Linked DNA regions of Daphnia pulex. The protein of the gene in region 2 interacts with the protein of the main gene of each other region in a pairwise test. Links are inferred from orthologs where the notes say so. Each region holds a gene or a part of one and is shown on either strand. Other genes may lie near its edges.

What was found.
Region 1: the proteins of cytoplasmic FMR1-interacting protein-like (region 2) and membrane-associated protein Hem-like interact in binary tests that used the Caenorhabditis elegans proteins (3 or more experiments, as listed by UniProt). The link is inferred for Daphnia pulex from reciprocal best matches to the Caenorhabditis elegans genes gex-2 and gex-3.

Annotation. Positions count from the first base shown.
Region 1 is NC_060019.1:12,575,532-12,590,695, reverse strand, and holds membrane-associated protein Hem-like, read right to left. Parts: upstream 7,123-15,164; 5' UTR 7,029-7,122; coding exon 6,924-7,028; intron 6,823-6,923; coding exon 6,718-6,822; intron 6,653-6,717; coding exon 6,509-6,652; intron 6,437-6,508; coding exon 6,294-6,436; intron 6,233-6,293; coding exon 6,071-6,232; intron 6,008-6,070; coding exon 5,892-6,007; intron 5,827-5,891; coding exon 5,616-5,826; intron 5,553-5,615; coding exon 5,456-5,552; intron 5,391-5,455; coding exon 5,209-5,390; intron 5,141-5,208; coding exon 4,986-5,140; intron 4,927-4,985; coding exon 4,722-4,926; intron 4,647-4,721; coding exon 4,514-4,646; intron 4,449-4,513; coding exon 4,329-4,448; intron 4,271-4,328; coding exon 4,140-4,270; intron 4,074-4,139; coding exon 3,826-4,073; intron 3,764-3,825; coding exon 3,661-3,763; intron 3,601-3,660; coding exon 3,372-3,600; intron 3,338-3,371; exon of another isoform or gene 3,298-3,337; coding exon 3,204-3,297; exon of another isoform or gene 3,137-3,203; coding exon 2,970-3,136; and 12 more. Other genes in the region: 25S rRNA (cytosine-C(5))-methyltransferase nop2-like, read left to right, coding at 7,466-7,565, 7,635-8,482, 8,545-8,784, 8,846-9,159, 9,226-9,571, 9,994-10,012, 11,067-12,055, 12,121-12,327; histone H2A deubiquitinase MYSM1-like, read right to left, coding at 12,716-12,886, 12,959-13,163, 13,234-13,346, 13,414-13,529, 13,606-13,804, 13,870-14,195, 14,264-15,036, 15,105-15,164. UniProt on the Caenorhabditis elegans protein: Rac effector required for tissue morphogenesis, cell migrations and egg laying. May play a role in egg laying and in yolk protein clatherin-mediated endocytosis by oocytes during oogenesis.
Region 2 is NC_060025.1:3,982,201-3,997,605, reverse strand, and holds cytoplasmic FMR1-interacting protein-like, read right to left. Parts: upstream 7,553-15,405; 5' UTR 7,441-7,552; exon of another isoform or gene 7,360-7,440; 5' UTR 7,339-7,359; coding exon 7,129-7,338; intron 7,057-7,128; coding exon 6,877-7,056; intron 6,795-6,876; coding exon 6,613-6,794; intron 6,545-6,612; coding exon 6,416-6,544; intron 6,346-6,415; coding exon 6,138-6,345; intron 6,075-6,137; coding exon 5,871-6,074; intron 5,809-5,870; coding exon 5,689-5,808; intron 5,622-5,688; coding exon 5,550-5,621; intron 5,486-5,549; coding exon 5,271-5,485; intron 5,204-5,270; coding exon 5,073-5,203; intron 5,010-5,072; coding exon 4,839-5,009; intron 4,768-4,838; coding exon 4,685-4,767; intron 4,445-4,684; coding exon 4,376-4,444; intron 4,160-4,375; coding exon 4,086-4,159; intron 4,017-4,085; coding exon 3,843-4,016; intron 3,773-3,842; coding exon 3,544-3,772; intron 3,486-3,543; coding exon 2,940-3,485; intron 2,871-2,939; coding exon 2,701-2,870; intron 2,610-2,700; and 5 more. Other genes in the region: WD repeat-containing protein 55 homolog, read left to right, coding at 1-163, 255-437, 509-582, 657-823, 906-1,541. UniProt on the Caenorhabditis elegans protein: Required for initial steps of body morphogenesis. May play a role in egg laying and yolk protein clatherin-mediated endocytosis by oocytes during oogenesis.

The DNA.
Region 1 (15,164 bases), on a different chromosome or scaffold from region 2:
ATTGTTTGTGATCCCGTGGGATCCTTTCGTCCCGCCCATTTTAAGTTACACACTGGTACAGATCAGAGAGTTGGCAGTTGACAGCACTTTGAAACTGGTAGATGATAAGAAGATACATGAAAATAGTCTCCAAGGTCTAAAGAAATAATTTTGTTTTAATAATAAGTATTTGGAAAAAATACGTAATGCCAATTTATTACTGGGATAATAAGACGTTTGGACGAAGACAAAATTCCTTTAAGGTTCTGTCTTTCTAAATTTTTGCTCATCTGAGATATTTCGATGATATAAGAAGTAATCTGTTAAACCATCATTAAAATTCAAAGTTATTAACGACTTAATCTCGAATTCGTTATTTCCGGTACCTTATTACACTCGCTGAGGGTCGTCGCGTTTCTAGTGTCCCGTAAGCTGCGAAGGACAGTAATACATTCTGTGCTCTATTTCAAAATAAACCGATTAAACCCTAGTGAAATATTAGATATTAGATGATAATTACAGTTTCCCGAATCCGATCACTCGTATGACAGATGAGCCAGAAACGAACAAAAGAGTCAAGAACGTCACTGACCTCCCAGCAAGCCCCAACCACGTAACCACGTTCAAAAAGCTCGATTAAATAGTAAAAAGAAGTAAACATTGTGACCACCGTCAGGAAGCAGTTTACCACCAATATTGTACTAAAGTGACGATGAAGTAGGTCAGAGGCCAAATAAAGTTGTTTCAGAGAGCGCAGGTTCGAAAAGGTCCGCTGAGCTACAATTCGACTTGGGATAACTCCAGCATTCCTTACCATAGCACAAAACAAATTTAAGTTGGTAATCAACTCCCTGGTGTAGAATATACATAGTTGACCGCAAATGATGAATATCCAAACAGGTAACACGGTGAAACTGTAGTACAATATCATTTGATTCTTTACAAAGTAAATTGATGGAAACTACGTGATTATAATTACAAAACCCCTGGTTGGAGAAAAGTCTGATTAAATTCTGAAACATTTCCAACCAATAAGCGGGTTTATTCGGATGGGTTGAATCCCAATAGATGGAAAATGTACAGTTTAAAACAACCTTTGAAAAATATAATTAGTGACTGATTTTTTTGAAAATGTTGAAAAGAAGGATCTAACCGTAAAAAGAACATAGATTAGACCAAACATGGAATAGCGTTTTATTGGCGACAAATTTGGCCGTCCGAAATCTAGATCGACAGTCTCCAGGGTCTCTAAAAACAATGTTACCGATGGCCAGATTTTAAATACCAAACTAAGGTGAACAATTATATCGGAAACTAGTGAGCTAAGTCGAATTAGTTCACTAACGAGTACTTGAATAAATCTATCGACGTTTATTTCCTGGCTGCCGAAAAAAAAATCTATTATTAATGTGCGCTTGACGAATATGTAGAAGTTGCTCTGAATGGCCAAAACTAGTACTACAAAAGTCCAAAAACGGTAAAGGCGTTGTCTCCATTGGGCCTCAGAGTTTTGATTCACGAAAACACCCGTAACTTTAAACAGAATACTTAACGGTGCCAAAGCCGAGAGGAGAAACCGATCTTTTAGTGTTCCTGCCATTATTTCACTTGACTTAGTGCATAACAGTACCTGACAATGAGATTTCGGTGTACTGGCTAAAAAAATTCTAGCTCTGAGTTGCGCGCTATTCCATTTTTTGATAACATAAATGATACTAATGGATTTTATGACGACTAGAAGAGAAGTCGGCACAGTATTTATGATGTGACCCATCACTAATTTGCGAAAGTACTCAACATAACTATAGATGAAACAAAAACATTGACTAATTAGACAAACGCATTTTCATTCAATTTTCTAAGGGTGTTGACCAGAGAAGTCCTGCAGTTTTCTTGTAGGACAAAGAGAAAGTGAGAGTGACATTTTCCTGTATCGCCTTTGTACTTCGTAATATCCAAAGTAAAAAGTTATACAGCTCTAGGAATTTATTGGTCGTCAAGGCATACAGTACATTCTGACAATGAGATGATAACGAAGTAAAGAAAGAATACTGAATTCAGTAAGGTGGCTCATGTAAATATTTGAAGATAAAATGCGAGTTCTACTCATCTAATTCCTGTTTTGTCAGATGATCGATTACCGTAAGAGAAAAGGGAAATTTAGGAAGTGACGTTATCTGAGCGGAAGACTGCCTGATTAGCCTTGCGCAGAAGTGCATATGGGAAACATGATTCCAAGAGATCCATGGTCAAATAAGGAGAATCTTGAACGATCTAAAAAACCAAGAAGGAAAGGATTAAACTGCCCAATCGATTACACATTACATAACTACTTACCAAATCTAACAAGAGATAGATTGATTCTCGATTTTTGATAGCCTCTTTATCCACTTCTTGTCCCAAGCGTAACAGACTTGACGAAGCCAACTGTAGCAAACATTAAATGTCATTAAAATATTTTTAAGCACATTAATGTTATTAACTTACAGCTAGAAACTCTTTCAATCTTTCCTCAGTGTCCCTTCTACCCGACAAGGCGAATAGAGCGCACAGGACAGTGTTGACAGCGGCAGCTAGACAATGTGCGTTGTTTGCGTGACCTTCTAAGTAAGCTCTAAAAGAGAAACACCGGTTAAGTACAGGAAGTCTTACTAATTTAATACAAAATCAAACGTACCGGTACATTGAAGATTCTGATCTGGCTAGGCGTGGCAAGGCCACAGCAATAAATACAAGCAATAAGCATGCTACTAAATGTTCGTCTTCATTCGTTTCTAGTTTAAAATGAAAAATAGAATATAATCGTAATGACGTAATTGGATACTAAACAGTTACTAAAGTTACCTGTTCGTTGTACTTTTAGGGCAGTTACCAAAACTGGATCGACGACGCAACTTAATCCAGCTGCGGAAGCCATTTCATTCACCACCTGGTACGACGAAATAAGCATGATGTACAACACGAAGCCTTTCATTGAAAAGAAATTTTACCGTCGCATCCGACTCGTCTGCGGAGAAATGTTCCTTAAAGTCTATAATAGACGACAATAAGAAAGGAACACGTTGATTCAACACGTCATTCAGCGCTTCTTGACCAAGCTGGCGGAAGCAAAGAATCACACCGACAATTGTCATCCTCTGGAGTAAGTTGTCCACCTCTGATGAATTAAAAAAATGAAAAATCAACAATTACCCAGTCACCAAATTAATGCTCAGTTGACTTACGTTGGAGGCGTTTTGCCCATTCTTTCATGTGTTCTGGTCTATCAAAATTTGTTCGAAGAGCCACGAGAACGTCCTTGTTCATCAACACAAGTTTCTGTTTTTGAAAAAAGTAATAAAGTTTATTAGATGAAATTGTAATTCACAACAAAAACAGAAAGTTATTCTCACTTTAAGCTCTTGCACTTGGCTGGCTGTGTGCCACATCAGCGTTTCATTCAACAATTTCATTCCATAGGGACCAATCAGTTCAGCGAGAGCCCGTAATTCGTTTACATCAGAAAACTCTTCAGCGTTGAAGGGCACTGCGCCCTCAGCTGTAAGACTTACAAAAGCCTGCTGAAGAGGCGAGAAGCAAATGTGACCTGCACTCACTCGACGAAGCAATACCTCCGAATACCTATCGTAAAAGGTGATTATTGTTGTTCTATGATATAGATTATCATAACAGTAAACTGACCAGGTAACGTAAAGAGCAGCGATGGTTTTCTCTCCATTGCTGTCCACGGATTGAGTCTGTTGAAGCAAAACACTGTTGAAAACCCGGGTAACGTCGATGTGAACTAGGAAAAATAACCGTTTTACTCAACCGATATTTATCTTCAGGTAAAATGACGAGCCTTACCATAGTTTTCCACAGTTTGGAGGACATTCATGTACGCTTTCACGCTAGCCAAGAGTTCTGTGGGTTTAGCGATATCGCCCGTTTCAGGATTGTACATAACCATCCCTACGACCGCGCGAGCAAATCGAGACTCGAGATGTTGATAGAGGTATTCCCTAGGAGCAAACGCATAATCCCATACAGTAATTGTTGGGCAGTAATTAATGGCGTAGCACAGTTCCGTCAAGGCCATGTGTAGTTTATCCATCCTGTAGGAGTATACAGTTTAGCACAATAGCAAGATACTTTTTCTTTTGCAACTCTAAAATATTTACGTGGTTAGGTCCTCTCTTGTTTTTCGATAACTCTCCATTCCGGGTTTGTCCACCTCCGGTTTCCTAAACTTTTCGCGTTTCTTCTTGTTGACTACTTGCGCGATCAGAGGAGCACAGTGTTTCGGCAACAGCTATTTCAAAGAAGAAAACTTAATATCAATCAAACATAGACAAAAGTACTATTCTTACCCTATCGCTTAGATTGCACTGTTCGTCGCAAATGGTAGTGATTATGTTCTTCGCTTCTTTAGCCATTTCCTCAAGATAGACGTTGACTACCGATAGACTTCGCTCGCGAATATGATGTCTCTGCAAAATGAAAGTTTTACCCACGAGATCCTCGCTTTTTAAAAAAACATGAGAAAAACGCTTACCTCTTCCGGACAAAGTTCGTGAGTACAATTTTGAAAGTGCCCGCAAATTAAGGGGAATACAATAATGTACCGGTTCTGCGCTGGGAATTCCAGACACATGTGGAAGTGATCTTCAAACAGTTTGTTATAGAAACTGAAGGTGGGAATACGCAGAAAATCGCATGTCATTATAAATTTTGTTATTGAATCTAATTGCTTACTAGCTTACCAAAAAATTGAAAGGTCCGAGGTATCTGTCAGCATGTCGTCAAGCGCATCAACCATCTTTGTATGGAATGCAATTGTGTTAAGTAGGGTTGCCAGGTCACGATGGTCGCTTAAGACTAGTTGTGATTTAGCAACTGAGGTATATGCTTGCAGGCGACACCAATCGAGGCGAAGTCCACGGAAATCGAACAATTCATTTTCCTCCACTGTAAAAATAAGATACATTAACACCTCAATCTTTAACGTGAATACTCTAGAATTCTACCTTGCTTGATGCTTAGTCCACCAATGGAGTTGCAGAGCGATGACAAAATTATGCTTTCTTCTTCGGATAATGTCTGTAAAGGTTGCAGGAGTTGGTTCAAAGAAACGCCGTCGTAACCCGACAAATACTGGACGTAATAACGTTGCAACACTTGACTGAAATAATATAGTTGTAACTATTAAAGTAAAATCTAAACAGGGACAAATGTATTAGATCGCCTCACCTGTATTTGCGAACTAGAGCCCGAATCTCTTCCATGTAAAAAAGTAATTCGGGCAAATGACGATCGACCAAATCTTCAGCAGTTTTACCCTTGTTACTCCTTGGTGGAGGATTGTCATGATGTCGAAGTAACCAATTTACTTCGTCTCGGGCAAAGCTAAGTCCCATAAACACGAACAAAGCCTAAAGAATTCATTAGTGTGACAATCTTGTTCAACTGATGTAACTCATAATATCCTTGGACTTACTTTAGGGCCAAGTAGACCAGGCTGATCCGTAAGGATAAGCTCCAACTCCCGAAGAGCTGTGCGTAGAAACATGCGTCGATCCATGTGGACTTTTCCTCTGTATAAAAAATCCTTAGCTTTAGAAACAAACAACGAATTTAAATATCTCTGTTATTCTTACGAATTTAATACGGCTAAATTGAAGCATTCCTTTACTTCCGTAACTCGTTTTCCGTAGCCCTTGATGCCGTCGAAAAACGTCTGAATGTAAGAGTGAAAACAAATCACTTCGTCGCGAAAGAGAGGCAACACCCAACCAGATTGCAGAGCATTGATCCATAAACTGACAGCTACTGGTTGAGCTAGGAACTGGTGACAAAGAGTGAATCCATCTTGTTAAAGTAGAAGAAGAATTAAGTTAAATGTGTTTAACTTGATATTTTAAATGTGCAATTACAAATAATCCATCGTTCAAATGAATCCAGCGAAAGATATTCACAAGGCATGGTATCTGTTTGTGCCGGGTTCAACATTTGGTTTTGGTTCGAAGTTAAACTGAGCATTTGAGCAGACCTAAGTAATAAATTTAAAAAATGAGGCAATGCTACATTTAAATATTGATGAGATGGTTTATACCTCCATTTATCTGCAGTTAAATTTCTTCGAAGATAAACATTTTGCAAAGAAAGAAGAGCTGACACCAACAACTTAGAATGGGGTATGAATTCTTCACTAAGTTTCTTCAGTGGGGGATCATAATCCATAATCATCTGGCCCAGTCTTGGGAAACTCACATCACTATAATAATTTTAAAGTTAATGAGACCTTTCAATGTGGGATGCATTTTAAAGTTATGCACCTGTGGTTGTGTGTTAGTTCATGTGCAGCATTGTACAGTCCCAGAACTGCTTTTCTATCTTCAACACGTGACAGGAGAATCATCAGAGAGGTGTAGGTGGAGACAAGGTCCAAATAAGCTTTTGTAAGATCAAAATTCAAAGTCTAGGAGATATAAATTAACAAGAAGGAGGTTAAGTATACTTGAAATTAGTTTTATATTTTTAGGTAGCTTACAATATCCAAGTGAACTTGGCATGCATCCATGGTTGTAAGTAGTTCTCCAACTTTGTCTTTGAAATCCAAAAGATCTACAAATGTATTGTAGTATAGAGAAAGTGATTTCATCACTTCACTTCGATGTGGCTGCAGAGCTTGAAGCTAAGATGGTGAAAAAGATAAGTACATTTTCTTGTTTGTAAACATAGATACACGTTTGAACATACTCCTTTGACATCAATGTTTGGGAATTTCTTGATGACAAGCTTGATGGAAGATTCTAAAGTTTTGTCTGACAAAAATGCTGGTTTTGAATTTGCATCCCCACATGCCTGCAATTGATAAGATTTCGTTACAGATATTTGCAAATGACTTACGTGCAGAACGTAGCAAGGGGAGGGGCAACACCCCATTCATCTTCATCGGCAATTACCTTTTTGATGTTATATATCCGTGTTAGCATTCCCAGACCTCTGTCATTTAAGATTAACAATTTTTCAGCAAGCTTTTGCTGACCGGGAATCAGCGGGCGAGCCATCGCGATAATAAACTGCTGTTTTAAAAAACAGCGAAATGAGCAGGATAAACAAGTTTTTTAACAGACGACCAACCAAGGCATCTGACAGCTTTGAAGCATACGATTTTGCCATTCATTTAAAATATTATTCAAAATACAAAAATGGTATAAAAATATAATTAATTTCTTTAAATAATAAAAATCTAAATTTTCATTTGTTATTTGCAAAATTAATATTTGATTTTCAATATAATATATCTTGAAACTGGTTTGGCGCTGCTGCATTCATGTTGAGAGTGGGAGAAATATGCAAATCAAAGGCATACGATAATTTCCCAACTTGGCAACTTCCAACTTCCATTGTAACACAACACGTGTTGACCGTGCCGTCTGAAGTGATTTGTTTAATCTTTTGAGTGTAGTTTTTGTTGTATACTTGACATCCTAATTTAATTAAAATGGGACGCAAAGGTAATTTTGTCGAGAAAACTCCCAGTGGTCCGGGTAGGAAAGCCAAAAAACAGAAACCCCCAACGCTACCAGACCATCTAAAAGAAGGTATGTGAAACGATCATGTTCTGCTTTTTGAGAACTTGCTGATTAAAATAATTGTTTCTTGGTATTTAGTGAAAGAACCGAAAGAAACTTTGGGCAGAAGATCACAGAAGCGTGCGGCAAAACGCAGTGCTGTCAAAGCTGGAACAGCTACTCGTAAAAAGCAGCCAGTCAAGAAAAATAAACTTACGTCAAATGAGTCTCTTGACAGTGAAGACTTGTCGGATGAAGAGGGAGAAAAAAAGAACCTTTTTGATGATGGAGATTCAAATAGCATGGGAGAAGGTAGTGATGACGAGCCTCTGGCTGACAACTTCAAGGGAAGCTCTGAAGGCAGTTCTGATGATGACGATGAGGAAGAATTACCTATTGAGAAAAAGTCAAAACAACTCAAAATGAAGAAAGAAAAAGTAGACGAGGAAGCTGAAGCAGAACTACAAATGAACATTCAGCAGTCAGAAAAGTACACACTTCCAAGTGGAGAAGAAATTGAAAAAGAAGTGCTGCTTCCTCCAGATTTGACAGTGCTGAAATCAAGAATTAAAGAAGTTATAGGGGTCTTGAGCGACTTCACCATCAAACGCGAAGAGGGTCGTGACAGAGTTGAATACCTTGAACAACTACGTAAAGATCTCTGCACCTACTACAGCTACAATGATTTTCTTATGGAGGCATTTATGGAAACTTTTCCGCTTGGCGAATTGATCGAATTCCTCGAAGCAAACGAAACTCCTAGGCCCATGACAATTCGTACAAATACCTTAAAGACGAGAAGGCGAGACTTGGCTCAGGCACTCATCAACAGAGGAGTGAATCTTGATCCTATTGGAAAGTGGTCGAAAGTTGGTCTTGTAATCTATAACTCGCAAGTACCTGTCGGTGCAACCCCCGAGTATTTGGCTGGTCACTACATTTTACAGGTAAATAAAATGCTTAGTAAATTGTTATACTATAAGCTTATATTTATTTCTTAAAATATTAGGGAGCTTCTAGTTTTTTGCCTGTCATGGCACTGGCACCTCAAGAAGGCGACAAGGTTCTCGATATGAGTGCAGCTCCTGGTGGTAAAACATCTCACATTGCTGCGCTGATGAAGAATACTGGTATGCTATTCGCTAACGATGCGAATCCTGATCGAGCAAAGGCTGTTGTTGGTAATTTACATCGTCTTGGAGTAACCAACGCTGTTGTGATGACCTACGACGGAAAAATTTTACCCAAGGTTGACTACTAAGAATAGCAATATTCATGTTTCATTTACTAATTTCAAATATTTTGTTCAGATGAGCAGGGGATATAATCGCGTCTTACTGGATGCGCCATGCAGTGGTTCAGGTGTTATTTCCAAAGATCCTTCGGCAAAAACATCCAAAGACAGCAAAGACATTGCCCGTTGTTCTCATCTTCAAAAGGAGCTTATCCTGGCAGCCATCGACTGTGCCGATGAAGGTGGTTACATCGTCTACTCAACGTGTTCTGTACTTGTTCAAGAAAACGAATGGGTAGTAGATTACGCTTTGAAGAAACGTCACGTCAAGGTTGTCGAGACTGGTCTCGATTTCGGTCGAGATGGCTTCCCTCGATTCCAGAAATTAGTGTAAGGTTTCTTTTATAAACAAGCACATTTGGATGCCAGTAATCATTAATTTTCGTTTCTTTTCAGATTCCACCCATCTGTAAAGTTATGCAAGAGATTCTATCCCCACACACACAATATGGATGGTTTCTTTGTAGCCAAGTTGAAGAAGATATCTAACAATATACCATCTGCTGCCCCAGAAGTTGAAGAAGAAGTGGCCGAAGAAAAGAACAGCGACGATTCTGACGAGGAGACTGTTAAGAGCAAGAGGATGAAGAGGAAGAAGGGCAAGGCAAACGGTTCTTTAAATAAAAAGACAGGTCCGAAAATTGCTAAAAATGGAATTGATGCAAAAGATGACAAGGTCAATGGAGTCGCCAAGAAGGGCAGCGCTATCGTGAAGAAGAAAATGGGAAAACAACAGAAAAAGGTTCTTAACAACAAAATGAAAGGGCCTAAGAAACTGAGAAAATAGGATGTTTTTTACGAAATAAACTCGGTTGTTTCACTCTATACTAACCGTTTTCTTCATTGAGAAAATAGCAATGTGATCCAGGATCATGAGGTAGTATGTGTCATTTGTTTGTGCCTTTATTATGTTTTTATTATGATTAATTCAGGGAAGGTAAGAACTTATCAACGTATTTTATTTGTTTTGACGACGAAACCGTCGGGGGCGCTCGTAATTTACAAATGGCATGTCGTCTGCTGAGTGTTGGGTTAATCACCCATTACATCACCGGCGGTTTGATTTCCTTTCACTAAAGCAAACCCCAACACTACAGCTTCTTTTTATATTAGGAGTGCATAAATTGCATCAAATCATGATAAACCCTCCGAAAACATGATAAGAAAATCGGCCTGGATTTGGGTAAGTGACTTTAAACAATGTTTCATCATGCTTGTTTGGCAATTTTATTTATTTTGCTCATGTAAGATCACGATTATTCATAATGTTTTTCAACTAAGATCATGGGCAATGTCCTGTCGAAGGAAGGACTTTCTCCTCTTATCACAAGTCGTAGCTCAATGCCGTGTGAGGCAACGCGGTTCGCATATCAACTATTCATTTTAGCCGATTAAAGATCTGTCACGTGTACTGCTTGTACTTATTTCACGTGTATTTTCTCCCGTGTCGCACAAAGTGAATAATTGGTATTGGTTGAACAAATGTTAAATTTTTTTAACTATTTTTAAAGGAGTAATTGATGGATGTTTAAACTGGGGATTGTATTCTTAATTATTTTTTTTTCTTAATACCCTTCGATCGACTCTTCGTATTATAAGTTATCTGATACTTTCCGTTTCCTTTGGACCTTTTTTAGTCGTAACATGGTAACTCGACAAGTATCTATTCCGTTAGGGGGGAGCAAGAACTTTTGCGGCCTCAATCACTATAACAGTAGCCGAATGTAATAGAGTAACGCGGTGTAATGAGTACCCAACAACGAATATTCTTATTGACCGTTATTGGGTTAAGATCTCCCCTTTCATAAGTAGCAAACAACTAAGGGCGTTTCTTTAACCTTCTCCCTCCTTGAATTGTAATCTTTCAACCTTTGGACCAGTGCCATAGTTCTAAAAGTTTGAGACATTCTACTTTCAGTTGGGTTCCGTGTTCTAGAGCGTTTAGGTCGTTGGAAAAAATCTCTTGTCGGAACTGGCAAGTTAGCCGAACAAACATGGATTCATCATCAAGAAGGAGACGTGTGCCGCTTGTCGACATGCTCTCTGTCATGTTTGGAGTAGGTGCCTGGATTTCAATCAACGGACTCTGGGTAGAGTTACCTCTCCTCGTTCAAGCTCTACCTGAAGGATGGAGTCTTCCATCTTTTATGTCTATCATCATCCAGATAGCTAACATAGGTATCAATGAATTAAATTTTACCTTTATAGTCGATTTCTAATTTAATTTTGACCTACAGGGCCCATTTTCTATTCCGTTATGCATCTTCTCGTACCTCATATTGTTCACGAAAAACCCAGCATTTATGTCCTCATGGTCATCGGAGTCCTTTCCTCTCTTCTGATGGGCTTCTTCTGGGATGCTACCAGCTACATCAACGGAGAAGAACACAGCACAGGACTCCTTACATTACTCTTCTTCCTATCCCTGGTCGACTGCTCCAGTTCAGTTCTCTTCATGCCTTTTATGGCCCGTTTTCGTCAAGCGTACCTGACGTCTTACCTGATCGGCGAAGGTCTCAGCGGTTTTCTACCAAGCATCTTCGCACTGATTCAAGGTGTCGGTGGCAATCCATCCTGCCGCAATATCTCGAACATTGTGAATGGATCCGAATCGTGGCAGATAGAAGCTTTCTATCCTGAACCCAATTTCTCAGTTTCAGTTTTCTTTTTCATCCTGATGGGTTTGATGGTTTGTTGCGCCGCTTCTTTCATCGGGCTTAATCATTGTGGAGTAGCTCGTCAAGAGCGTTACGAGTCGGTAGCTACCCGGATACCTGTAGCTATAGATAATCAGACTTTTGTTGCGTCAACAGAAGTAGTTGATCCAACGTTCAACGGCAAATCTGCAAAGATAAATTACCAAGTTGAATTGGACTCGGTAAGCGAAGAGCAACAGCAGGTCAACACAGACATCCCCAAATCTGTCTTTATCTATTTATTGCTGTTGCAAGCTTGGGTATGTGCTCTGAGTAATGGAGCTCTCCCAAGCATACAAAGTTACTCATGTTTACCCTATGGGAATACGGCATATCATTTTGCAGTTACTTTGTCGGCTATGGCGAATCCTTTGTCATGTCTTATCGCCTACTTTCTACCGATCACAAATGTATGTCTGATAGTCGTCTTCTCCTTCTTGGGAACATCTGTTTCTGCTTACATAATAGCACTAGCCGCACTAAGTCCGACACCTCCTCTGGTCGGATATCCTTCAGGAGAAACGCTTATGGTATTAATAAGTTAACACATTTCCCATGTAAAATTTGATAAAAAGCTTTTCATTCCAATTGATAGATTCTTTCGTGGATCCTGTGCGTCGGCCTCCTGACGTACGTCAAAGTCAGCATTGCGTCTCTTTTCCGTATGGAAGAAGGAAAGGGAAATCGCAACCTGTTTTGGTTTGGAGTATTCACACAGGTGGGATCAGCTATTGGCTCCATTATTGCTTTCCTTCTCGTTAACGTCTATCAGTATTTCGAAGCATATTATCCATGCACATAACAACATGTACATACAATAGCACATAAAAGTCGAGATAACGTTAATCCTACCCCAATATTTATAATAATCATAGTGTCACCAAGTCCGTCTGATCATTTTATCCCCTACTTAGTGGCGGAATGTCAAACAGGACACGTCAGCAATATTATGTAGTACCTCAACCTTTGGTTTCTAATCGCAATATTTTAATTGACCAGAATTTCGAACTGAATTACTTGCCAAGAAAACAAATGAAAGTGTGTCTGATTTATTAAAGTTCAGAACAAAGAAAACACAACAAGAAGTCGCCCGGATTAAAATTCATGCTATATGTACATGTGAGCGTGGTCTTTCTCATAAGAGGAGGATGATTTGATTCAATCATAATCAGTAAACCTGTACTGATAAATTAATTGGAGTCGCTGCAAGGTAGGGTACTCGTAAAAACAGGGGAGACGATTACACGACTGGCATGACGTGCTATTAATCGATTCAGGAATCCTTCAGCTAGTTCCTCGATGTCATTCATAAGTGACCCTGTAACTACGTTCTCCAAGTGTGCTCTTATACTAGACAGAGCCTGCAGAAAAATATCCATTAGTAAGTATTACAACTGATAACAAACTAAAAAATTTACGGTTTAGCAACTCACTTTTTTAGCGTAATTCAAAATCCCGTCTTCGGAACGCGTTGGAAGGTAAGGATACTTGCTGTTGAGGGGGACCAAAGTTGGACACAGATCTAGGTTGGTCTCCAAAACATCAAGTGTTATTCGAACTTTGTTCAATTCATTTGCCCCGCAATCGAATACCGGTAGCTCATGTTTATACGGTAAATCGTCATGAACGGTGATGCATCTATACTCGAATGTGTTGCAATTGATTGTTAGCTTTGAGTCTACTTTAAACGCAACTAGAAACTACTTACCGAATTGTCGATTTGAGAGACATGGATGTTTTGATCCCAGAAGAAGAAAAGGGGTTAACAATTAGGCCGACGAAAGGCGCATCTTGCCGGGAAAACCATTGCTGGAATTCGTTCTAAAAGCAAACATTACAAATATAGAATGTGTAATCAAAGACATGACGACATACACTCTATGCTCACCTGAGTATTTAAATCGCGTAAAGAAGGGAGGGCAGGGAATGTCGGATGAGAGTGATACCAGCCTACAATTTCAAGACCGCGAGATCGTAACTCCTCACTGCCTTCTGTTTGTGAAACTGTAATAGCAGAAATTACACAGTTCAGTTTTTATGAAGTGTGATTTGATCAGCAGAAAAAACAAAACAATCTTACTAGGACACATTTCACATTGATGGTTAGTTGCCTGACTTCGACACGGTTGGGCGGCTTCGATGGATAACGTAGCCGGAGACTTATCCGATCCCGGATAGATGTGGCCTCCAAGTAAGCCAATAATTTCTGTTGTGCAAGTATGAGAATGGAGGTCAATAACTACAAGCGCTTCCACCGAAAGTTGTACGCTGAAAGGTGCCTTTAACAAAGAGAAACATTTTCCAATTAAACCATAATAATTTCATTCAAATAACAAAGAGATACCTCTTTCTCGCCACCGAAATTTAGACATGGAACTAACTGAAAAGGAGATTTCTCCTCAAGTTGTGGTTTTGTTCTTTTTTTCGGTTTTTGTTTTTGTGGACTAGTAGATCCTGAATTCGAAATGAATGAGCTCCCTTGAGAGCCGTCGTGGCTGATTGTGTACCCGCCATTCTCGTCTCCATTTTCATGATGGGGTCTCTTCTTCCTGACCCTTGCTGGTAGTCCGGAAATGAGAGGAAGGTTGTTCACAAAATGAGTACTGCTGTTCGCCATTCTCTCTCGATGGCAGGGCACTGGTGGCAACGGACGGTTGTATTGTACCTGATCTGTAGGATTTGAACGAATAAAAATGTTAAATGAACTGTGTAGAAATATCAAAGATAGAAAAGCATACCACATCCAAAGTTTATGGCCCCTGTCAATTCCAAGTAAGCGTGCACTCGGCTGATACAATTAACATCTCCGCAGTTTTTGAGGGAAGGACGAACGGATGTTTTCGTGAGGTAACGTGGTTTTACTCTGCGCCACTCTTGAACAATGCTGTTACGAATCTTCATGTACCTTTCCGGTGTTTTACTGGGACGACCCTCAAAGAAATCCCAATGAATCGTCTTTTCCTCATCTGTGATAATAGTAAATGCAACGGTTCGCTCTTCTAGGGGAGCTGGAAACGTGAAGACGGGCTGCGGGGGTTCAGCGTCCATTAATCCAACATCTGGGTTCTTGGAATCAGTCTCAGAAGATTCACATTCACTTTTATCTTCTTGTGCGTATTTTGTTGATGGCTCAGACGGCTGTGGTAGTGGTGGTGCCAGAGTTTCTATGATTTCAGCTTCTTGAATTTCGTTTTTAATTGGAACAGAAGAATCATCAGAAGATGACTGTAATTTTAGGGTTTCTTTTAAAATGGTTGGAGGTTTGTTGGCTGTACGTTCCTCTTCATCGTCACTGCAATCAATATCAACTTCGGAATCGCTAGAATCTACTAGTTCACTTGTTCTTTGTAATCGAATAATTTCTCCTTGAAGAATGGGAACCGGTTTCTTTGTAAGTGTGGCATCATCAATTATTATATTACAATTTGTTAATTGGGGGACGGATAAGTCTTTTGAAATTTTCCTAGGTCTTCCAGGCGCTTTCTTAACTAAGAGTGGATTTTTTACCCGCCTAAAGAAAGAATTTTAAAAATATCTATATTGAATCAATGGCAGTTATTGTTTAAATATTTGTCATACCTTATTTCTTTTGTAGGAGATTTTGGTTTTGAACGGTTCGTCTTTTTGCTATTTTTTGTC
Region 2 (15,405 bases):
AAGATGCTGATATTATCATTGCAATCTGTAATGCTGCCAAACCGCAAGAGAAAATCAAACCTCCTGATTTAAGAAGCTCTGTGAATTGTATGGTGACGGACATAAGCTTTCATCCAAGCAAAGAACTCATTGCAATGTCTAACATTGAAGGAGAAATTACATGGTACATATTAAGCAACAACAAATTTATTGGTCTTTCAAATATTAAGTTTATTGCTTCACCACTGTCATGATTTTTTCCCCTTATTTTATAGCTATAAATATGGAAATGAAGAAAATGAATTGTTGCACACACTTAATCACCACAAGAAATCTTGCCGTGTGTTGTCATTTAATCATGATGGAGCTCTTCTGTTTTCTGCTTCCAAGGATAAAAGTGTTGTAATTACCGATACTGAAACTATGACAGTTACGCAATCTTTCCGCAAAGCTCATGAGTAATAATTTATTTATAATTCAACTTCCCAATTTAGTCTATTAATTTTTTTTTTTTTTTTTTTTTTTTTAGTTCTCCAATCTACAGCTTACTTTGTATGGATGCAAACATTTGGGCATCCGGGGATGATGATGGTGTAGTGAAAGGTATATTCTATTTGTTTCAGTTTGTAATAGATTGAATTAATGTGTTCAATTCGTGTCCCTCTTTGAAACTAAAGTGTGGGATAAGCGTCGCGCTATCCAGAAGCCTGTTGCAGAGTATAAAGAGATGGATGAATTCGTCAGTTCAATGATTACTGATTCAGGATCACGGCTCTTAGTATGTACTAGCGGAGAAGGAACTTTGACTGCATTTAATACAAGAGCCAAGAAAATGGAAGGGCAGGTAGATAAAAATAAAAATTATACATTTTCAGCTGATATGTAGTGTTTTTATTTTTATTTTTTTATTTTTTTTTAATTTTTAGTCTGAAGTCTACCCATCAGAAATGAACTGTGTGGGTCTCATTCGACAAGAAACAAAGGTCATTGCTGGCCTTGGTAACGGGAACATGTACATCTTTGATTGGAAAGCATTTGGATACCACAGTGACGCATTTGGGGATCATCCATCAGCGATCAACTGCATGATTCCCATCATGGACAACATCGTTATTACTGGTTGTGATGATGGGAAAATCCGTGCCATTAGTCTATTCCCACATAGGTTCTTGGGGGTAGTAGGTCACCACAAATTTCCTATTGAGCGTTTAGACATTTCAACGTGTGGTCACTACATAGCATCTACATCCCACGACGGACGCGTGCGGTTTTGGAATATTTCCTACTTTGAGGATCCCAATTTAAAGTTGATGGAGTCGACCACGAAGAAATCTGTCCGCAACAAAAAACGTTCGTTACGCAAAGAGAAATTAGGATTTCAGCTACCGTCTTCTAAGAGACGGAACAAAGGAGATTTTTTCGCGGGACTTGCCGAACCTGAGCCTGGACCTGCCGAAGCTGCCGAACCTGAAGCCGAATCTGATTCTGATGCAGCATCTGATTCTGACGCTGAATCTGCTTCTGAAGCAGAGTCGGAAGTAAGTTCAGACAATGATGAATAACCTACATTTTAACATCTTTACGTGAATGGTGTATTCAAGAAGTCGGGACTAATACAATCGCAACGGGCAACGTCTAACTGATCTAAGGCATATAGAAATTATGGTGAAAACATCGTTGCAATGAAGGTTTCTTTAAAGGATGTAAAGTGATTGGGAAATGATTTCATAATATTTCGTAACCTGAATGAAATTAGATAAGACAAAACAAGTAATGTATAGACGAATTAAAATGCTCAGTGCTGTTCTAGCGTCAAGTTTGCAATTATCCCAGAAGTGTTGGCTACATTCATGGACTGACGAAGTAGTTGGTCAGGTCGATAATAATGACCCTGATTCACTGCAAGAGAGTGATGTATGGGAGGCTGAAAACAACGCACATGCTCCACCGGTTGAGAATCTACATCACCCGAGCTCGTTTTTAAATATTTGTTTAGCGTAGCGAAGACTTGTGAATTCAAGACTTGAAAGCGGCGAATTCGATCAACCAATCGCTTTAGTTGAATACCCTTCACAGTTTCGTCTTTGTTATCGACGCGTTGTACGCGCAAAATATGATAACAGAAATCCAGTGCCTCGAATCTAACGACAGAACGGAAAATCAATTAGGCAGCCCTGTTTTAAAAATTATTTTTGAAAAAGTAAGATCAAAACCTTCGTTGTTGTCCAAGCAAGGCAATCATAGTGCATCCAGCCCAGTGAAGTCCTTCGCCGAAAAGCTGTTCAACGGTAAATTCGTTTTCGCCAACAGGAATGCAATACACAAACTGCAAAGCTGACCATAGTCGGTGAAATTCTGTACACTCGTCGACCGTTAGGACGCCATTGACAGGAACAGGACCCGTCCAAATTGGATCGTCTAAAAAGGTGCGGATGCGATTGAGCACCATTTCGAAGACAGAAAGACCACAGCAAAGACGTTCTCTGGTTAAAAGATCTCCCTCCCGTGCAATCAAGGTTTGCTTGGCGGTGCCCAGCTTTTCTATGTTGGCGACAATTTGCAATGCCGCATACTTGTTCTCCAGTTTTTTCTGCTTGGCTTCCAATTTTTCGCCCTCTTTAACGAACGGTCTGTACGTTTCAATCAAAACCATTAAACGAAAGGAATCGTTAGGGGGAGCTAAAGCTACTATAAATGATGGAAAGGAAAAATAATACATACCTTGGAAGAATATTTTGAAAAGGCGCTGCCTGAAGTAGATCGCAAACTTCCTCCTGTGACATTGCTTGTTCAATCAGAAGACAAAATATCAGCGCGTTCCCGAATTCTCGGAAATTATGAAATAATTCCGTCCTCGCATCAGGGTATTGAACAATGTCATTCAGTTGGGCCTGTAAAGATAAGAAAAAATACATAATTAATAATTGTTTCTCGGTTAGGAGAAGCTATTTAAATTCTACCTGATAATATCCTAAGACACCAGTTGATCCGTAATCGTAACGAGGCATTTTGCACTGTTTTGGCATCGCCTGCATTAGGGTTTTGGTGAATTGTAAAATGTTTCCCTGTACTAACGATTTGATTATCTTGAGGATCTCTTCCATGACTACGGCGATGCCCTGGTAACCCAGAAGATTTGAAATAGCCTTAAAATGTGGTGCACCCACAAATCCGGAATATTGATTGAAGATGTTTCCATTCGCGATGTTGAGCGCCTTACTGCCCCAAAGATAATGGTAAGGCGTTTGAGGTGGTTTATCTCGGTGAACAGGCTGACTGAAAAGTAGGTCTCGGCACTTGATGAAGCGCCCTGTTGCGGCATTATAGCAATAAGTGGGTAAGAAATCGTAGTTGAGTTCCCAGAAGACGTGTAGCGTCACTCGGCCATAGGGTGCCAGAACGTTATGATTGGCTTCTCTCCACATAGCGTCGAAATCATCCATCGCAAGGTTACTGCTCAACAATTTGTGAGTTAATCGGTTCACGTCTAGGAGACCGCTTAATTCCTGTCATTGAGACTGTGTTACATCCAATTGGACAAAGTTGCTCATTTTAATTACTTACTACTACACCGGTGATATCTCCACCTTCAAAACGTGCAACCGATAGCTCGAGTGCCTTAAGAAGTGCAGCGTTAACTCTTTGAGATATTAATCGATTTAAATCAATTGAACGTCCCAACAACTGAACGTGGCGTTGTTTCATCAGAGTTTCGTAACGATTGGCAGGAGGGTAGGTAAAGCGCGTACCTAATGCGGCACACTCAGCACGAAATCGTTTGTCCAGCATGATGCTAAGGATGTTAGGACGCACGTTATTAACGAAAAGTTAGCAATGTTTAGCAATCAATGTGCAATGCTTACCTGCCAGCAAGGTGTTTGTAGTAGGCGAAAATTTGTTCGCTCAGCTTATAGACGAACTGATCGAAACACAGATTGACTTCAGCTTCAACTTCGTCGTACAAAAACTGTTTGCGGAAAACGGTCAGCGCATAATGAGCCGAATCGTTATAGAGATCAAGGGGGAAAAGTACGCACCTGGTAAACACAAATCAAACATCAAACTTTAAATTTAACAGAAAAATCGCATTTAGAGTTTGAACTCACTCCATCATAGAAGGCTCCTTCGTACGCAAAATATGATCAGTCAGGATCCAGGGCATCGACATGTCGATAGGAAACTAAAAAGAAAGAGACGAAAAAACATGTAGTAAAATCATGTTGAAATTTTTTTTAATTTAACTACAAGACTACAAATTTAACTGTTAAATAACAAGCGATTTTGCGTACATGCAGGCCATGCTGGGACCTTAGTTTAATTCAAGCATATATCTACTCAAGTCAGAAGCATACGACATCATGCTGAGGAAGTTTCTCAACAAGGTGACAGCTTATACCTGAATCCTTTTCTCCAGTGTGACCACGTCTTTGCACTCCTCGTTGTGTTGATGTTTCACGCAACATTTCTGAATTTTCGACATGACAATGACCGATATTTAAAGCGAAGGAAAGAAAGACGCGACAGAGAAAAAGAATAATAAAATTTAGCACACGCCATACTACTTACAACCTCTTTCAGGTAAAGTAAAGTAGACTGGCAAGTGCTTGCATTGCCATTTTTCCATAAACCAAAGAGCCAAGCCTTTCCCAGCCACCGAATTTCGCACTGACAGAAATCCAGATCAGAAACAGCTTCATATTCTTACCTGAATCCTTTTGCCCATTGTCATCTCAAGATAAAATTCTCGATACCAAAGTTGTGAAAGGTCGCACGATTGTTGCAGTGTTTCTGCGAGAAAAGAAAAACAAATGTTAGGAAAAAGTATGTTCAGTAAAAATCGAAGGTTGAATATAAAATACCGTTGAAATTGAGCAAATAGTTCCAGAAAAAAGAATTTTTATGAAATTGGTCGATTGCCATAAGGTATGATCCATCAATGTCTTTACGTAGCGTTCGCTTTCCACCAGATTTGTCAGCTATTAACGACTCTAGCATAGTGCGAACCATGTAAAGTTGGGTCGAAGAAGGTCCTGTAAAATAAAGGCAGAATGTCCGTAAAGAAGAAGCGTCTTTTGTTTGATTTTTTGACATACCAACATTTCGTCGTGGAACTTGAATATCAAACCCATTATCAGGATCTTTTTTCCCTTTAGTAGCTGGGTCGTCCTGTGGCTCAGTGCCTCTAATCCAATCCGCACAGGTTTCTCGGACTGAGACGATAATGCTAAAACAACCTCAGTTACTAACAGTCCCAGTTTACACTGCAGATCTTTCAACTCTCTGTCTCTTACCTGCGAATTAAGTCTTTCTTATTTTTGATTGCCTTTCTTAGGGGCTCACGCAAACTAAGCTGAACAAAATCTTGTAATTCAGCGTAGACATGTCGACGTATAGCGTCCGCAAATACCGTTTCCATTCTGGCCATGAGAACTTGTAATCCCTTTATCATGGCAATGATTTCAATGAGAGCAAATTTCTCCTCTTCGGTGTAATTGTATCGGGTAGCCTATCCGTAAATGGGCTTATTTAAAAACAAATTCAATTTTAAATAACATGTTAACAAGCCTTACGCGTTCATATTCTTCTGCTTCTGCGGGGCAGTCTTTATTCTGGTGATGGTCTGTAGGATGCAGGAGTTTCCACTAATTACACAAATGAATTTCTTAGTTGAAATTAATTAAAAAAAAAAAAAATAACTACAAGTCTTACAGAATAAAGTTCAGTAACTATGCTGGTCCATTCAGACAGCAGCTGTAGCCCACGAAGAGCAAGCTCCATCATTTCTTTCATCTCCTCCGGGGAGCGCGTTTCTTTATAAGTAGTTGTGACCTGTTTTACAAAAATTATTTTTAAGACCATTACGCATTATTTCCTCTATGACATTAGTTTACTTCGTTGCTATAGCGTGCCAGTTCGCTCGTAAATTTAACGTGATCTTCACGGATTTGTGGCAAATGAACCATTAAATCAGCCTGAGGTGAAGGTAGAGTTGCACCACACAAGGGCCATCGTGAAGCATCGTAGGTTTTTGACCGCTTGATATAATTAAATGGAGCAATTTGCATGTCACCAAACAGAGGGACAACCTCCAGATTCTGTAAAAATAAACAAAAGGTTTAATAATAGTCTATGAAATAAAATCAAAAGAGCCAACAAACTTTAAAAATTTTGTCGATTTTGTCGAGTCTAATTCGCTTTTTGTGATCTAGTTTGGAAATGTTTATCTGACATATTTCAGAATCCATGAGAAACAATCCAAAACCGAGAACTTTGACCAGCATATGTTTTTCTTCCGGAAGAAGGTACATGCGAGTTTCCAGCATATGAACGGCCAAGTTGATTACATCGGCAAGCAACTCCTCATAACTAAATGAAGCATTTTTAAAAATGTTATTAATTAGTCGTTATCAGTTTCATAAAAATAAAGCCGCATTACGATGGAATTTTTTCGAGAGCTTCTTTAAGTGAATCGCGAATTTTGTTTTGGGTAGCTAGAAACATCGACAGATTTTGGGATTCTTGTAACGCTTGCTGATCTGTCATCACCTTAAGGAACTGGGCAGCTCTAATAGAATACATCAATAGGTATCTTTATTTATTTTTTAATGGTGGAGAGAATAATATTTGACTTACCTGCGGTATGCAGAGTAATCGTTTTTTACACTAGACTTCATGTTTTTCAATTCATCCAGAACAGCAAACATATTAATGAATTTTCCCAGAGTGAGAAGATAAGCTTCAGAAACAAAATCTTTACGCTTTTCCGTATGGGAAAGTCGTTTCACTTCTGCACTGAAGCGCTCGATTGCTTTTCTCTGAAATTAAGTAATTCAACCTTTGTCAGTTAACTGAAAAAACATACAAACAATTTAAATTCATTGAGTATATTATACTTACTTGAAAATACATGAAATTTAACAGCTTGTTGACTTCTGGAGCCAGGACCTGAACTGTTTTTTCGTATATCTCAACTCTGTTGGGTTGTTCATTTGACTTAGGCTGCGGAATTGCTCTTGAACAGCATCTCCAAGTGTACAGCATTACAGCATGCTCTTGACCTTCTTGAAGCATATCATTCTAAAACAAAGTATTACAAAATTAATATTTGAAACACAAAGTTTAGTCATTCTCATTGTAGCTATTGCTTACCAGGCTTGCGTGAACAGTTGCCTCTTCTATGTATTTCGCAACTCCTGTTACAAAGGCAGTTCGATCTTCAAAATTGGTATCAAAGTTTGCTTGATAAATAACTGAACAAGCCTGAGCTTCGATACATGGTTGTTGATCTGGAAGTGGCAATTCATCTAGCACTTCAACGTTAGATAACGCATCGGCGAGTGTAACTTTCTCGGTAGCCATGTTGTAGCATAACCCAAGTCACTGATTGAATAGATTTTGAAATTAAGTAATAAGCAGACGTTGTTTACTTTAATGGCAATCAACCAACGCTTGTGTTATTACCCAGAAACGGATGTCATCAACAACAATGCACTGAAAAGTCAAACTCAACAAACTTGGCAGACGCCCTTATTTTTGGTCCAATCTTTTGCTTGAAATGTTTCAAAATTCTAACGCTAGATGCTTTGTGGCGTTGCAATCTTCACCAGTGACCAGTGAACGGAAACGCATGAAAACTTTTCCTGCGTTCTGAAAAACGGAACCCCCCAAGTGGTGAGGAACGGATTCGTTTCCGTTCACTGAGGTACGAAGGCGATAGCATGTGCTAAGCACAGTGCTACCCTTTATAATATGCATCTTTTCTTCTTCTCTGTTTCACCGATAGTTTTTTTTTTAATAATCATTTGATATTATTTTTCCACTTGTAAAACATTTTGGTCATAAAATGGAAAAATAAATAAATAAATAGAAAGATAAACATCAAACTGTTGTTGCTGCTATGGCATCGGGGATGGATAACCTTGGTTAGCTGAAAAGGGAAGAGTCATACCTTGAATACTAATTACTAATCGTCAACATCAATGCCGTCTATCCACATCCCATTTTTCTTTCTACTCTCTCCTTTATACGTTATAATAATAATACAATAAGTAAATTTATTTATATTTATTCATTCGACTCCTCTACTGTGCTCCTCATTCTTTTGTTTTCTTTTTTATTTTAGTGGTTTTTAGAGAACCCCATCTCACGTGTTGATTCTTCGACAGAAAGACTAACCAAATTCGTCCTCTCCTCGCACATACCAAATAATCGAAATCTGAATTCAGGGAATTAACTACAAGTTTTTTTGTTTTGTTTTTTTTTAATTCAAGTCGGATTGAGGCATCTCGGACTTTCTGCCAATTTTGCTTTCCTTCTTCCTTGATTGTTGTCTTGTTCGTGAGTGTAAATTAATTTCAACAAATAGAGGGTTGAGTAAATGGACTCTATAACCTTTCCGTCCATGATAAACCCAGCAGCTTATTTACGTATGAGAAACTAGATTCGACTACATCAATTTTATTTATTTACAATTATTTTTTGATGTAATTAAAAAAAAACGAAATAAGATAAGAGAATAAGAAGAATAGTTTTATTATTTTACAACACCAGTTCTACTATTCACACGTGCGCTAACAATTGTGATTAAGAAATATTTAAACAAGTACTTCCATATAAAAATAATCTAAAATTGTAACCATCTCCCATGACTCAAGTCACAAATGTTACAAAAACCCGACGGAAATTTTCTTATTGACCTCTTTCGCCCCCCAAAAGCCGTCGGTAAATTATTAAACGAAACGCTCATTTATTTTTCTTGTGACGGACAGCTCAATCCCTCTTAGCTGCGACAGAAGAAGTCGACCCATTCTACCTTCTATATCCTACCTCCTACAGTCCTACTACAGAGACTGGAACGATGGGAATGCTTATGCAAGCAAGTACAAATAATTTCGATATGAAAGAAACGAACGGAACAAAAAGGTTTTCACTTCTTTCGTTTGAATATTATTTTCTATGTTCCCAAATGAACGGGAGGATTTTTCGTGAATGTTGTTCAAAGCTTTGTCGTAATGTTTTTTTTTTTTTTTTTTTGGTAAATGCAAAGTTGGGAGTTGATAAAACAAAAACTCTGAGGAAAGTTTCACAAACCGCTTTCAAGGGAAAAAAACAAAACAAAATAAAACGACTCGTGTACATTCTATCACCTTGTGCTTCTCCTCATGGACGAAACTGGAACTAATGACCCGTGGTCGGCTGACTCCCACTTTCTGCTTCCCATATCAGATACAATGATGCATGACAATGGGGTATAGACGGCGATGAAACTGAGGAGAGAGAGATATATCTGATTGGACGAAAACCAACTGGCTTCTCTTTTTGTTCTCGGTTGTTCGGGTTCCCTCATTAGTCCACGTCCACTTTTCTCTCCCGTCTTCCGAATCAGCTCGGAGAGAGACTATAGTGGAATAAAATTAATGAATAAATAAAAACTCGCAAAAAAAAGTAATATAATAATGTTCATTCTCGAATTGTTGTTATTTTTCTCGAATTCTTCTTATTTATTCGCGAAAAAGAGGCGGGGCACTTTGTTATTATTATATAATCCGTCAAAATAGACACTGAAACAAGTTTTAGTTTTGATTTAATCCTTGCTCGAGAAACTTGACGAGTGATTTTTTGTTCCGCTAAGAATTTCTAGGTCTCGGACTGCTATTGGTTTAAAAAGATGGGAAAATTTCAAAGTTTTTCCCTTTTCGGCATTCTTCATCACGATCTCCCTCTGATAGGCTCATTTTCATCACGATAGAAACGGAACAATGGCTAGCTAATTCATTGGGAATTTCGGGATGCTGGATCCGTAGTCGTACCGGTAACCAGAAACTTTGACTTGAAGTTTTTAAATGAGCAATTTTTTTTTCGAGACTTCTGAATTTAACACAGATAATTGAATGTGATGTACTAATTGTGTGCTTCAGCATTATTAGTAACACGAATCTATATCTTACATTTCATTTCTTAGCTTTTTCATTAGCGTCTACGTGCTATTTTCAAATACAGATGGAGAGGAGAGGCATCGTTAAAAGATTTGAGTCGTTTAAGGAAATGACCGAAAGAAAAAATTAATGAAAAAAAAACAGTAGCAGTTAGCTGTAATTTGAGCTTGACAATTTGAACAACCCAAAAAGAGGCGAATTGGGCTTGCGAAATGGCTTTTCTTTAACTACAATTCTTGGAAGCAAAACATTGTTTAGCGGGAAATTTGAATGTGTTCAGATAGAGGTCTCTCTTTTCTGTTGAGTGTGGTGATTGGAATAAATTAATAGCAATTGAGCGCTTGAATTTTCGCAGTGCAACACACGTCACTCGTTCGAGCTACATAGCCCCTCTCGAATTTCCCCTCTAATTTATGTTAACCAAGGCTTTTAGTAGCTAATTGAGCGCCAAGGAACCAATTAGGAGACAGCTCTCAATAACCAAATGGACCGACTGTTGTGACGAATGTGCCGAAATAATGTCTAGCTGAGAGTCACATTTCGCCAAACCATATAGTATATGGGGTGGTGACTATTACATAATGAAATCGCCATGAATGTAACATTCTCGCGATGGTCGACATTAAAAGATCCATTAAAACAGGAATGAGCTGCTGGCCAGTAGAGCTGCTGTCGCCGCTTTCTAGATTTGAAAGAGACGCAAATCCTTTTGAAGCATTTGAATAGATTTGGCGGACTTTTGTTCCGCCAGTCCCTTTTGTTTATATATACAAAACCGACACGCGGGTTAAACTGGCTTCTCTCTCTCGACTTGATCTCTCTGGCATTACGTCACCTATATAGATCGGGCCGTCTCCACAGCGTCTCCAGCGTTTAGAGTTGTAGAGCGTTCAGCTATAGCAATCAGCACTCCTCCTGTGTCAAGTGGCTAATACATTTGCTACTGCTACTGAGCTACTGAGCTACTTCTGCTGGTGTGGGGTAATCAACTCTGCGCTGGGCTAATTCGTTTTCATTATCGTACGCCACTCTGCTCAGAGGACGACTGACGACTGACGACGCCGACGCCGCTCTTATGATCGGGCATTAGCCATGCCGGCTTAGGTTTGACAATCTTCTCCCTACACTCTGAGTCATGGATTATGAAAGACCATATAGGACTCGCGGGAGGGGTTGGGCGGGCTGGGAGAATCAATTCAACGAGGGCAGCAACGTATAGCAAATCCATCCACATATATGCGCGTCGTCTATATATACTATAATAATAGCTGAGGGAAGTATAGGGAATTCGAGAGATGGAATTAAAGAGAGGGGGAAAAAAAGGAAAAATCCAGAGACCCGTGTTGCTCCGCAATCCCCCCTGTTATATATTCACCATGTTCCTGAGTTCCTCTTCATCTTTGTCGCTCTCTCCTCTCCTCTTCCATCTCCTCTTTCGACCCCCGATTTCTCCCCCCCCCCTTCTCTGCTGGCCTGGGCTATTGAAACCCCCCTCCTCGCAACCGTGTAGCATATAGTTTACTATATCCCACTTCCCCTTAGCTTTTCCTTTCTCTCCTAGCTGTCTCGTTCCATCCCTCTCGCCTATAGAGCTATACAGAACTGCCCCCACTCGATTTTTATGTTTCTTTTCGAGGTCTCCTTTTTTTTTTACTATTATTTTCTTTGGAAAAAGAAAAAAAAGAAAAAAGAAAATAACGATCGAAGCGCGGAGCTCCACAAAACCCCAAGCCCCAAACCGTCGGTCGTCCCCCTCCGGATTCCTTATAGAACTGTATCAGTCGCTCAATCTCGTCCCCTTATTCTTCTTCTTCTTCTCTCTACGGCCTTTATAGACGCATCCAGCATTTAAACGAACATACAGTGACAGAGTATCGTATTCCTTACTACTTTTTTCTCTCTCTCTCTCTCTCGCTCTTTCCGACATTTAGACTGGGTAAAAAAACACACACACAGGGTATATAGGCCTGTACATATATACAGTTCCAACTTTGCAGCGCCCTATTACGTATATATACGCAACCTCAGCTACTCTGATTTTTTTTTCTTCTTTATATTCCCATCGTGGGGGGAGATCATCAGCCAACGCATTTTGGTCATCCCGCGTGTATTCCGATTAATGATATTTTTAGAGGGAAAAAAATAAGTGCTCTGGTGATTCAATTCATATTTAAATGTTGTAATATCAAAGCCAAATGATCAATTTATTTATTTTTGATTTAACATCACATCATCACCATTCACAGTTATAACAAATCAACCCAAACCAAATAAAGAAATAGCGATCAAAGTTGACCGAAAATTCGATCACAGCACACAAAGAATAATACATATCGGAATATATTTAACGATAACCATCTTATACATATATATATATGTATCCCTCGTCTCTCTCTCTCTTTTTTTCTTTTTTTTCTTTTTCTTTGGCCCCTGCGTCGTTTTCACCGCATAACCAATGGTCTCTCCGGCTGGCATGGCGTTTGAACTTGCGTCTAGGATCGAAGGGTTTTTGAGCAGGGGGGAATAGTCTTTCAAAAAAATCAGCTTTGGTCAGTCGAGTCACGTCCGATGGCTGTGCCAAGACGCAGAGGGCACACACACACGCACGCAAGCACGCCTGTACACACACACACGGCACATGCATTTAGTTAAGAAAGAAGGAAAGAATGAGACAGCTAAAAGGATCAAGCCAAAAAGAAAAAAAAAAGAAAAGAAAAGAAGAAAAAAGGGAATAGTCACAGATTTGTTGCTCCCGCCAATGGCTCGCTCCATTTTTCATCATGTCATCGCTTGACAGTGTTTGACTGGCGGCTCCTCAGCTATAGATCCTTGCCCGTCCTTTTGGTTTTCTCTCTCTCTCTTGGAATGAAAAGAGAAGAAAAAAAATGTCAAACGGCATTGGCTTTTTATTTTGAACTGTCCGGTTGTGTGTCTTGGCTACTATACATACTACCCTGGTCGTTCCTTGTACACCAATGACAACTACTAATGTTGTACTACTACACATCCAGCTCACTCTAGATTTTCTGGTGTTTAAAAAGCTGTCACAGACTTATCGTAACATTAAAGCTAGGTAGACTTTTAAGAGGACTGCCGTATTTTCACAATAGGTTCGCGCTCATATAATACAAAAAGCTGACAGAAAAATGTTGCTTTTCTTTTTTATTCGTGATGACCGCCAGATTGTTAAACTTTTTGGGGTTTTATCCCGAAAAAAAAAGAAACTTTTTCCTGATCATTGGATTTCGCTGTGAATTTGTGCTGTTGCTGCGGATCTCCGCTGTTGTTCGCTGGGGAGCCGTTTGAGCGCCGACTCGTTGCGCAATCAAGAGGCGCCGCCTATACACGTTTCAAACAAAAGTTTCGTGTTTGATGTAGTAAGCGACTGCTGTTGACTTACTTATTACCTTACTTTGGGCTGGCGGCGTGAGAGCTGCCGTTGTAATGTTCTGCTCGGTCTTTCTAGTGTCAGCGCATCATCTCGTATAACTGTTAAGAAACAATCCATTCTCAAAGAATGCGATTCGTTGTTAGGCAAAGAAATGTTCGTTTGGTTTAAAGTCAAGACGGTTTTCAAAGATAGGCCTATGATTTACATCAGGCCAACATTCAATGGAAAGCAGATATTGTGTAGAATCGAATCTAAGGTCAAAATTGTTATGTATTATGAATGGCTTAAGTTACATGTCGTCAAAACGAAATTGATAGCACGATAAACACAACTGTTTTTCTTCTCCATTTTTTTAAATTGGAATTAATTGGTCAATTTCACAAGTTCACTTTCAATTATGATTTTTAATTAAGTCGTTGACTTTGTCCGAGAGTGTTATTGAGTACGTGTGTCTCTTGTCTGTCTTACCATCATACACTTTGCTCCAGAAAAAAAAAAAAAAAACATTAGAAAAACTTGTGTTCGGGTATTTTTCTTTTTTTAAAAAAAATAAATGATATGCATCAGGTGCATTCGTCGTTAGTGTAGTTGTGTTGTTTTGAACTGAAATTTCCGTTTGTGTCTGCTGCGGGGTTCGTTAGAAAGGAGTTGGATGAGAGACCCGCGGAATGGCTACCGTTGGCTGTATACTGTCACGTATATGTAGCCGACGGTTCTTATTCATAAATTCTTTAAATGACTGAGATGCACAGCAACGATTGAAACGAGGAATGGCATCCGCGCTGTATATAGATCTGATATAGAAACTAAACGCATTCTTCGGTTGCTGAATGTGAACTACACGCCGGCCAGTGTCGGGTATATCCGCGGAGAAAGGAGAAGTGCGGCGGTGTATGTTGTCAGTTGGATCATCCGTTGCATGTGGAACTCGTGAAACCCAAGTCCGAATGGCCAACTTCCAACTTCGCAGTTTCACTGCATTTTCTTTAGATTCAAAAGCAGGATAAACTAATCCATTTCTTTATCTAAATAAAGGACGATACAATATATGCTATTTAAACAATACATTGAAGGTCAGTGTATATAATTTCCTTTTATTGTTATTTTTGGGCTGGTATGTTGCGACAAACCCGCACCCGAGCCATAAATCTGCGAAACTGCCGGATGGCTATATATATATACAGTAAGCTTTCTTTTGTTTTTTGTTTTTGTTTTTATCTTTGGAACTGAAATCCCTTTCGGTTTCAGTCAAGTCGATTGATTGGTTCTTGTTGATATCTCCTGCACGTCGGTCGGTTTTCTTGAGTTGCCAGACTTCCTCATTTCACCCACAAGGTGGAAGTTCGCTATGTGTTCGCCGCCCCCATCTCTATTCGAAGCAGAAAAGGTTCTTTTAGAAGTTTGGCTTATAATGAGACAGAGACTAGTCACCAGCCAAAGGCCTACCGCACTTAATAAAATGATTAGTCGTTTGATTTAACACAAACACTTGCCCCAGGGAATAATCGGCGAGTAAGAGACTTCGCCACAATCACAGACGATACCACTGATAACATACTGTAAATAATACGTTGATAAAAGTAGAAAATAATTTTAAAAATTAATCGGTATGTGACATAAAACATTAATTGGTCTGGCTATTCATTCGGGACATAAATAAATCATGCTTTGTTCACGGGTTCACGCATGCTGCTAAATATTATTGGCCGCGTTGGATGCGCAGACTGGGTTAGATTCCTGTTCAAGAACAAACGTTCAAGTAATTAAGTAGCTTGGAGAAGTAACGCCTGTTGTATTTTTAACCGATTTTTAATAATGAGTCACACTTTTCCCCACTATATTACCCCCACTACATTACCCTTTATTGCATCCAATATTGACACACCCCTGTCTGCCTGTCTGCGAGAAGGATTCGCATAATGAGAAGTTAGGTTGGCTGGGATTCAAAAAATAAAAATACCCCGCCATTGAATTGAAGCCTTGAGCGTTATTCCTTCATTTGAAACTCTTATTGAATTTGGGGGACATAAAATGTTCAACACAGCATAACATATAATAATAGCCTGCGGCAGTTACTTCTCTTTCGAAAATATGGGGAGT